Linked DNA regions of Macaca mulatta. The protein of the gene in region 1 interacts with the protein of each later gene in a pairwise test. Links are inferred from orthologs where the notes say so. Each region holds a gene or a part of one and is shown on either strand. Other genes may lie near its edges.

The links.
Region 2: the proteins of UBE3A (region 1) and TAT interact in binary tests that used the Homo sapiens proteins (3 or more experiments, as listed by UniProt). The link is inferred for Macaca mulatta from reciprocal best matches to the Homo sapiens genes UBE3A and TAT.

Annotation. Positions count from the first base shown.
Region 1 is NC_133412.1:4,510,055-4,515,550, reverse strand, and holds the start of UBE3A (ubiquitin-protein ligase E3A), read right to left. Parts: upstream 3,366-5,496; 5' UTR 3,293-3,365; intron 1-3,292. UniProt on the Homo sapiens protein: E3 ubiquitin-protein ligase which accepts ubiquitin from an E2 ubiquitin-conjugating enzyme in the form of a thioester and transfers it to its substrates.
Region 2 is NC_133425.1:68,298,092-68,303,474, reverse strand, and holds the start of TAT (tyrosine aminotransferase), read right to left. Parts: upstream 3,238-5,383; 5' UTR 3,080-3,237; intron 2,497-3,079; 5' UTR 2,485-2,496; coding exon 2,250-2,484; intron 2,095-2,249; coding exon 1,990-2,094; intron 1-1,989. UniProt on the Homo sapiens protein: Transaminase involved in tyrosine breakdown. Converts tyrosine to p-hydroxyphenylpyruvate. Can catalyze the reverse reaction, using glutamic acid, with 2-oxoglutarate as cosubstrate (in vitro).

The DNA.
Region 1 (5,496 bases):
TCTTAGATTGGAAGGGCATGGGAGAATGAAGTTCCATTATGTGATGGGGTTTTACACACACACACACACACACACACACACATGCACACACACATGAATGTGAGAAAGTCACTCAATTATAAGCATTCAAAAAGACAGACAGCTTTCTTGTCTTTGTGGCGTCAGTACCTAGCTCAGCTCATAGAAGCCACAGGAGGAACCTAATCAATGTTAGTTGATCATTTACTGATTTACCAATAACTAATTCATGACTGCTCTAGTGCTGTGGTCTGAATGTGTCCCCCAAAATTCATGTTGAAAGCCTAACCGCCAAGGTGACAGTATTAACAGCTGGGGCCTTTGGGAGGCTTTGCCCTCATTAATGGAATTAATGCCTCTATAAAAGAGGCCCTATAGAGCCCCCTCTACTCTTCTACTACATGAAGTTATAGTGAAAAGACAGCTAGCTGTCTATGAACAAGGGAAGAGGGCCCTCACTAAGATGTCAAATTTGTCGGTACCTTGATCTTGGTTGGGCTTCTCAGCCCCCAGAACCGTGAGAAATAAAACTTCCGTTGTTTATACGCCACCCTGTCTGTGGTGTTTTGTAATAGTAGCCAGAACAGACTAAGACATCTAGTAACGCATTCTCTGGTAAACACTAGGAATTCCTGGCCTTAAAGAGTTCATAGCTAATGAGAAAAGAAATAAACAATATAAAGGATAACATGCTGTAGTCCATTATATACAAAGTGCTTCCAGACCATTCAGAAAAACTGGATAGGAAGATTTCTAAGGTAATACTTATTGAGTGCCTGCGTGTTAGGCGTTTTACATACTTTAAGCCTCACAACTCTGGGGAAGTTTCACCAACCCATTTTACAGGTGACAAAACTGTGGCTTACCAAGATTAATAAGGTCAGAATTAAAAGTAGGGTCTAATTCCAAAGACATTACCACTATACATACCAATTTGTCTTGTTACTACATTTTATCCTTACATTTGGCAGTGAGGGGAAAACTCAAAACCAGTCAAAAAAACTTTTGTCCTGAACCAGCATAAAAAGAGCACCTAAGACTTCATCCAGTATTTTACTGAAAGATCACTTCTAAAAGTTTGTCTTCACCCCGATCTAAAAATTAGAAAACTAATTTTCTTTCAGCAGCTGCATAAGTACATAATGTAATGTTTCTACATTTAGACCTATACAATTATAGGTCTAAACAAAATATGTGTAACACGATTGGAGAACATTAGCAGTCATTTAAGAAAATGGACATTTGGAAACATCATTTTAAGAGCTTGGGATGAAAAACTTTGCTATGACCTATACATCTGGATCATTCCACTGACTGACACTGAGAGAAACAGTGTATTATCACAGTTTACACAGCAAATTTTTTTGGAGGGGAGTAGGAGGTGATTGAAATAGAAATGATATGAAGTTTAAGAAATACAACTGATTAGATGTCACATGTCAAAGACACTGTAGGTACCCAATAAATACTGTTAAATGGACTGGACAAGTGGGATGAGAACACTTTTTCCCCACACCTCTGACTAGTACGTGCCTTTCTTAGGAAGTTATTTTTTCAGCCATGAAAAAAAAAGGGCAGAATTTAGGACAGATAAAACACAAGTAGCTTATAAATCCTCTGAAAGGAAATCAAAACACAGTATTTTGTATCTCTGTATAAAGTTAAGCTCCTCAGGGACAGGGGCAATGTCCAGAGGATGGTGAGCATACTACTTAGCAAACTAATGCAGGTTAATAAATATTGACACAGTAAGACTTGCATAGTTTACATTCTAATTTTGTAAAGATTATGAGTTACCTCTTCATATTCTGTTCTTGTATTTCTCCTGTGTATATTATAAATACACAAACATTGCAAATTATTTCTTGAAGCTATTTCATTTTTGGTCAAGACTATTAGCGTTTCTTAAAAGGGTTTCTGGTCATCCTTAGGGTTTATCAGCCACATCATTAATATTGTATTCATTTCACTAAAAATGTGGTAAGTAGCTTAGATTTAAAAACAGGATCTAATTTCAAAGCTATTTCCACTATACATACCAAGATAAAACTTTCTTCTCTCTCCTAAATTCTAAATTTCACATGATTTACCCAATCACCTCTTAAGAGTACTTATTGGTCAGCAGTGTGAGACAAACACTTACCCCACTTGTCCAATGTATTCCACAAGATTGACTGGGTACCTTTGTGTCTCTGACAGGTAACTTCCGACAGTTGTATTTCTTAAACTTTAAGTCGTCTCCCAAAAAACTCTGTAATTTGCTGCTTCTCTCAATATTGCAGGCAGTGAAATGATCCAAAATTACGCGTCATATCCATATTCCTTCATGATTGAGGTTAACTATGCACTGCAAACCCCATATGCTATTACTTTATATTTTCAGCAGCACCCTAGCCTCTTAATAATCTCAAACAGATTTTGTACTGTTACTAATTTAGCACATCCATAAAAAGTCATTAAAAAAATTTAGACGCTAAATTCTCTTTCAAGGTTGCCAAGCTTCACCACTGTATTAAAATTATTTTTAAAATTTCACGGACTAAGGCATTTGGTACATTCAATTCCACCTTTACCAACAAAAGCCTTTATCACTAAGATGAGGAAAGCATCCTTTTCATTTTCTCCAGTGAAAAGGGGGAAAAAAAAAAAGGCCAACTGCTTGCATGCAGGTCTGCATATAACACAGCAGTCTCTGGCAAAGCCAGTAACTCACGTTCAACTTCAGAAATCCTGGTGGACGGCAACACATGAGTAATCTGTGCGCACAACCCTTGGGCTTGACATACCACTTCCTCCGCCCTCCCTTCCCATCAATCCACCCCCAAAACCCCAACCCACCAAGCACACGGCTAAATATGTCTTCCCCAAGAGAGCCAGAAACCTCGAAAACGCCGAGAAAGAGCTCCCCTTGGAAGGAAAGGGCCTGCCCTTCCCAGTCCGGGGCCCCGGCTGGCTCGACAAGCCTCTCTCCGAGGAGGCCCAAATCTCGACGCCTCGCACGTCCAGCCCCGCCCCGGGCCCGCTCGCGTCCCCTCGGGCGACAAAACCCTCCCGCCGGCGCTCAGCCAGGACTGACAGTTAAGACTGCAGCAGCCGCGGCCACCAGGGGCCTACTTCTGGCACCAGCCCCTCCGGACCACGCGCCCCCAAACACTCGCCTCGGCGGCGGGGGGCGGGGAAGCGGGGCGCCGACCTCGCCACCGCGGGCCCCGAAGGCCGGCCGAGTGACGGAGGGGAGCCAGCGCCGCCTGACGCAGGCCGCGGCAACACTGACCTGTCGTCGCCCCCGCGCCTGGGCTGCGGCGGCCGCCTCACTGGTCGTCGTCGCCCTCGCCCGCCGCCTCCGCCCGCCACCGCCTCGTTCCCTTTCGCTGCCGCCACCGCCGGGGCTCATGCGGGACCCGCGCTTCCTTATCCGGAAAACGAGGCCGGGAAAGGGGGCGCCGGAGCCGCCGAAATTCCGGCGTTCGTCGCCAGCCGCCGCTGCCTGTCCACACCGGGGGCTGCGGGGCCCTCCTGCCAGGGGCTACAGGCCGCGAGCTATTCCGAGGAGGAGCCGAAGGAGGCGCCGCCGCCCGCAGCCGAGCGCGCCGGGTCGGCAGAGGTGAAGCGTAAGTAGGCGGCGGATGGCGGGCGCCCGGGCTGGCGGATGGCTACGCGGCGGAGGGGTGCGCGAGCGAGCGAAGCCTGGTGTGTCGGGTCCTGGCGAAGGGAAAAGGCCCTGTCGTCTCCTGTAGTCACCCCGAGCCCAGCGCCACCATCTTGGGAGAAACACGGATCTCGCGGCCGCGGCGCAAGACGGGAGGACTGGCTGGGCGGGCCGAGTATCCCGGCAGGCAGCGCGCGCCGCCCGGCCGGGCGAGGGCTCCAGGCCGGGACGCGGGGACGTGGGGCGGGGCCAAGACGCGCGGGAGGGCGCCGCGCTCCGCCCCTCCTTCCCTCGCCGGCTCCGCCTCCCCCCCGCTTGCCGTCGCCGCCGGCGCACGGGTCGTTGGGAAGAGGAGGTGGCCCGCGGCCCCTCGGAGTCCCACCAGGGTCGGTCGCCATCTTGCGACTGGACAGAAAGGATAATCCCTCCTTTTAGTTTGTGCTGTCTGTGACCCGAAAGAATAAACCTGGTACATCCGGAAGCCCTCTGGGCACCCCCCAGGAGGGTTGCAGAGCCCCTTGGTGTACCCAGCCGAGGAATGCCTCCGACTGTGTAGGGAGACGAATGGCTCCGAAAGTCAGCTGAAACCGCAGGAATAGCCCCCAGCCCCGAGGCGGGGCAGGTGCCTGGCGTTATTAACTTTTCCACCCCAACCCTTTTCTATCTGGAGCTGTCTTTATAGGTGTTGCAGGGGTGCCCCGAGAGTGCAGGCCAGATTTTAGAGGACCAAGGTCATCTGCTTAGGCCTCTTGCCAACACGGGATGTGTCAACTAGTTTACCGGAGACGAAGGTAAAGTCCCGTCTCCTGCAGTTGTTGACGTGCAGTAGGTTGTCGGTTAAGAAAAGTGGCTCCCTGGTTGACCCCAGCTGGGATAGAGGCTAATTTTGATCCCTATGACAGCTGAACCTAGTTCAAGCCATTAAAATTAAAATTAAATCCATTTAAAATCATATTTAGTACCAGGATCACCATTTTATTTTAAAAGGGGTGTGTGTATGTATGTGTATATGTAGCTTTACAACACTTGCTAGCAAAGCCAAAACAGTATCATTAACAATTCACAGTGTTACGACTAGCAACTTTGTTGATAAGCCCTTGAAGTAGCATATGAGTCGCCATGTCTAGTATTCAGATTTTTTATATCAACAGTCATACATAGCAGTGTATCTTTTTTTAATTTATTTTTGTTTTTAAACTTGGAGATGGAGTCTTGCTATGTCAAGCTCCTGGCCTCAAGTGATCCTCCCACCTCAGCCTCCCAAAATTCTGGGACTATAGGCATGAGCCACAGTGCTCGGCCAACACTGTATTTTTTAACTGTCAGTCTCAGAAAATCTTTGTTATAGTGTGGGGGTGTGTGTATCCCGCCTCACAACTATAATCAACTATCGAAAAAACAACAATAAGCTAGAAGAATTTAAGTTATTCTAGGACAACTGACGATAAATGATAGTATTCAGCCATATTCTAAGATGTTTTAACTCAGCTCGTTATTCACTTTTCATTTCCTCTCAGTACACATCCACATTTGTAAACTATTTGCTGTTAGATTTCATGGAAAGGACTGGTAAGAAACATAATCTTAATCCCAGATTTGGGAGGCCGAGGCAGGCAGATCACGAGGTCAGGAGATCGAGACCATCCTGGCTAACACGGTGAAACCCCATCTCTTACTAAAAATACAAAAAGATTAGCCGGGGGTGGTGGCAGCGCCTGTAGTCCCAGCTACTCGGGAGGCTGAGGCAGGAGAATGACGTGAACGCAGGAGGCGGAGCTTGCAGTGAGCCCAGATCCCACCACTGCACACCAGCCTGAGCGACAGCAAGA
Region 2 (5,383 bases), on another chromosome or scaffold:
GCTTCTCCCACCTCAGCCTCCTGAAAGTGCTGCGATTACAGGGGTGAGCCACTGTGCCTGGCCAGAAGATGAAGCTTTCATCCCTGAACTGACAGCCATGCCCTGGAGGTCCAGCATGGGCTTCAGGCTGCCTCTGCCCCTGCTCATAGGGCATTCTATTTAGTTCAGCTCTCAGCCACTGTGGATAAAGGAGATTCACTTCACATTTTATGTTTCACAATTTTAGTATAAGCACAAATTTATAAATGATAACAAGGAAGAGCTCCCCAAATACTCTGCACCATCTTATTTCTGTGATTATGTTTTTTTCTGTGTAAAATAAGGATTTCTATTATTCCTAAATCTTTTTTACAGACTGTATTTTTTAAGAAGTTGTAATCACTGGGTGCGGTGGTTCATGCCTGTAATCCCAGCACTTTGGGGGGCCGAGGTGGGTGGATCACCTGAGGCCAGGAGATTGAGACCAGTCTGACCAACATGGAGAAACCCCATCTCTACTAAAATTACAAAAATTAGCTGGGCATAGTGGTGCGTGCCTGTAATCCGAGCTATTCAGGAGGCTGAGGCAGGAGAATCGCTTGAACCCAGGAGGCGGAGGCTGCAGTGAGCCGAGATCGCGCTACTGCACTCCGCCTGGGCAACAAGAGCAAAAAAAAAAAAAAAAAAAAGAAGTTGTAATCAATGCATTCAATTCATGTGGTCCATTTTAAGTTTTTTATGTTATGTAATATTCCTATCAGTATTTTGTACAAATTTTTATTTCAAATTATTTTTGTACAATATTTCCAAATGTTGGCTCACAAGCTTGAAGTATCAGCAGTTTCATGCCCATCCTAATATTTTGCAAAATTTATATTCAAAAAGACAAGTTAGCAAGGCTAGAGGCACTATTTCATAATGTTTACTAATTTAATAGGTACAGATGGATCTCTCAAAATTATACAAATCAGCACTTCCTTAATTACTAATGAGGAAGAACACGTTTTTAGATATATATTAACACCTGTATCTCCTTTGAAATGAAATATTCAGAACCTTTGAACATTTGTCAAATGGAGATTTGGTTTTGGTTTTTCAGGTTAAACCAGTTTCCTAATACTTTGAATATTAAAGTCATTAGAAACTTTTCTTACAACTTAACTTTTGGTCTTGATTTTGTTTTTATTCTTATTGTATGAAACTTTATATAATGTAAGTAATCAACCGAAAAACCACGAAGTCCCCGATATAACTCTTTAAAGTGTTTTTAAAATTTGATTTTATCATGAAACTGGAGTTTTATTCTGCATTAAGAATGTGTTTCTATGTACACATAAGGAAAAAAAATGTTCAACATTGAAAGTCAAGGAAGCATGTACTTTACCAAAATATTCAGGGTAGAAATTTTTAATAGATGGAGAGAAGTAAACCTAAAAAGGAGTAATTTCAATCTATCAGAAACAACCTTCTATCCTTCAGTTTGAGAGCCCATTTTTTGTTGTTCTTGGGTGTTTGTTTATTTGTTTGTTTAACCTCTTTAGTCTTAAATAGTAACAATTGCATTTCAGTGTGCTCAGGACCATAATGAAAATAGGCTTTCAATACACAGAGAAGCAGAAATGAAGCAAAGGAGCTATGTACATAGGGCAATAAGTAAATCCATTTAGGACCTAGAAGCTCAGCAAACACGAAGCTCCTGCCAGACTCAAGGCCTTCAAATTAGAATTAGTAATGATAGGACAGGCACTTTACTTGACAAATAAGTATGTTTGGGAGCCTAGAGGGGAAGTGCCCATATGCTAAAGAAAGCCAGGAAAGAAGTTGGACCTTGATGCCTTGTATTTAAGCATTCCAAGACCCCTTTCCCAAATCCAAAGGGCCATGTAATCTTAGCCTCTCCTTAGGAATTATGCATCAGGAAAGTGAAGAGAATTACTAGACATTTGGTCCCGTTATTATAGCACTAAAGATTTGGCAGCCACCAGGTATGGAGTGTCAGGAGGGGCTTACCGATGGATGGGGCATAGCCATTATATTTGCCCGAGTCCAGGGCATCTTTCATTGCCTGGGTAACTTCAGGGTCTGTAGGCAGGTTTCCAAACACAGTAGGGTCCCCTTTTTATGGGAGGAAAAAACAAAAGGAGCCAAGAGGTTATTCTCCCATGTTCAGTACTTAGACTCACCCCCAACTCCCATCCTCTCCAACCAGCCTGTTAACATGAGAGTAGAGGGGGACAATGACAGCCCCTCATTAGTGTCCCCCAACTCACCAATGGACAGAGAAATCATGGTTTTGTTTGGATTTGGTTTCACCTTCATGTTGTCCACAATGGCTCGGATGGGGTTGAAAGTTTTGTTGGCCATGTCTGAGGGCCTCACGGACCACCTGGTATTCCTGCCTTTCATTTTTCCCGGCACAGAGCTTCTCCCACCAACGTTGACATGCACATCCAGAATTGAGGGGAGGTTGCCTTTGCTGCTCATCTGAATCACGTATGGGTCCATCACTAGCGAAGCCTGCGAGGGGAAAGAAGGTCCCTGTGATGTTGAAAACATAGCACTGGGAGAGAGAGGAGCTACATTTGGACCTAAACATTGGGGTGACTTCACTAAAAGTGTCTTTCCAAACTCTCTCTTTTTTTTTTTTTCTACTTTCTCTCATAAAGTAGCTTTACTATGAATGAGGGGAGTTTTAAGACTTTTTACTGAGATGGAAAATAAAGCAAGAACCCATCATACTTAAGTAGGATTTGCTACATGCATCTGTAATTCCTGTCAAAGCTTAGCCATGCTCTATGAGAAACCAAGAAGGAATAACATGAAAATTGTTCATCAATCAAAGAATAGGTGCTCCCTCCTTTCCATGCGAGCCTATCCAAGAAAATCTACCTAATGCTTCTTGTTATCTACAGAGAACCAGGAAGAACCACTCCATCTTGTTAGAAGTTCCATGTAAATATCATTGTTAGTAAAAGTAAAACCTTATCCCATAAGGATCCTACAGCCCTAGTTGGAAAAAGAAATCAATACACCAAAAAGAAAAAAGTGAACAGCCCAATCAGTCACCACTGCCTGATCAGCTTGGGCTTGAGATTTTTACCTTCCAAGTAAAGGAGAAAGCAGCCTCCAAGAAGCAAACCCTGAAAGCTCCCTTAGCTCTTCTTTGACAGGTTACAGTGGCAATGAACTCAGATGCAAATCCTGACTCCTGAAATAGTCTCCACAAACGGGCGTTGAGCCTGAAACTTTCATGCCATTGGTTGGGAATGAGAGCTCAGCAGCCAGCCCTCCCCTCAGCTTCTTTCCTCCTCTCCCCTCCTCATTGCCTCTTATCCCTAAGCCCACCTCTCACCCTCAAAGCAGGAATTTGTCCTCACTTCAAACATCTGGAATTCTCCTGTGTTAACTCTTTCTGGGTACTTGGTGAGATGATTTCAGAATATCTACTGTCAGAAGGTAGTTCTTATTACAGCTGATAGCTTTTATTAAATTTTTTTTATTGTTAAAAAACAGCCTGTTAAAATTTTAACAGTACAGAAATATATAAAGTAAGAAGTAAGCATTCTTCCTTGCACCTGCTCCCTGTACACTTCATTCTCACTCCCAGGAGTAGAGGGTGGTAATGGTCAGGCTCTTTCTCTCCATTCAGAGATAGATACATTAGATATAGGTGCATAGATACATAATTTTATAGATTTCAAAACACAGATAGGATCCTGCTCTACACCTTGTTTGGCAACATTTTTTTTTCACTTCCTACATCTTGGACACCCCTCCTTGTCAATCCACAAAGTTTTGCTCCAATCAGAACAAATTGGGCACTTAAGTTCCATTCAATGAATATCTGAAAAGCACAGGGTTTCCAAGGCAGCGGAAACCTGTGCAGTTTTATCCTTGCACTGCGCGTGAATTCTTCACTTACCTCCTATGGTTATTGGAAGAATTTAAAATGTCAGGTGCGATCTACACAAAACAAATTTGCTAAGCAAAACACAAGGTCCACAGCCAAAATCTCAACATTCCTGTGAGCAGATGGAAAAGACCACCCACTGAAGGGTTAGGAGAAGGCTCAGTGGTCTCCCCAGGTTCAGATCCTATCTGTATATTTGTTGGAAGACAAAGATTTTTCACATCAGTTTGTTCTTCTCCATCCACTTTTCAGGGAGTCACGCCTCCAGTGGGGTTGAATATAGTAGTCCCCCCTTATCCACAGGGAGCTCACTCCAAGACCTCCAGTGCATGCCTGAAATTATGGATGTCTGAAACCATGGGTAGTACTGAACCCTAGGTACGCTATGTTTTTCTTATACAGTAATGGCCGGTACCGTCTATAGCATGGATACACTAGAAAAAATTATTCACATCTTGGGCCAACAGCATCCTTGTCATAAATGTTAGTTTACATATTTTATTATTTCCTTAAGACAGATTTCTATACATGGACTTTGTTGAAAAGAATAAGCATTTTCTCTTTTATGTTTTTAGTAAATATGATATATCCTTATATAATAAATTCAAATAGAGATATACATGAATTAAACCTTGATCACCTTCCCTCCCTGCATTCCCATTTCATATAAAAAAGCATTTCTAGTCATTTCTTGTGTATCCTTCCAAATGTTTTCTATGTTTATTACAATACATATATAGCTGGTTTGGGAGTTGCTAAAAAAATAGAGACTAAAAGTGGTCTATAGTTGCACTGTCTAATATCGTAGCTACTAGTCATAAGTGGCTGTCGAATACTTGAAATGTGGCTGGTCTGAATTAAGATGTGTTGTTGTGGCTGGGCGCAGTGGCTTACGCCTCTAATCCCAGCACTTTGGGAGGCCGAGGCGGGTGAATCACGAGGTCAGGAGATAGAGACCATCCTGGCTAACACGGTGAAACCCCGTCTCTGCTAAAAATACAAAAAATTAGCCGGGCATGGTGGCGGGCGCCTGTAGTCCCAGCTACTCGGGAGGCTGAGGCAGGAGAATGGCGTGAACCCGGGAGGCGGAGCTTGCAGTGAGCCGAGATCATGCCACTGCACCCCAGCCTGGGCAACAGAGCGAGACTCTGTTTCAAAAAAAAAAAAAATCATGTGTTGTTGTAAAATACACATCAGGTTTCGAAGACTTAGTATAAAAAAAGAGTATTAAATATCTCATAATAATTTTATATGATTACATGTTTAAAGAATATTTTGGGGCTGGGTGTGGTGGCTCACACCTTTGGTAATCCCAGCCCTTTAGGAGGCCAAGGCGGATGGATCGCTTGAGCTAAGGAGTTCAAGACCAGCTTGGGCAACATAGCGAAACCCCGTCTGTACAAAAAAATACAAAAACTAGCCAGGCATGGTGGAATGCACCTGTAGTCCCAGCTACTTGGGAGGCTGAGGTAGGAGGATCACCTGAGCCCAGGA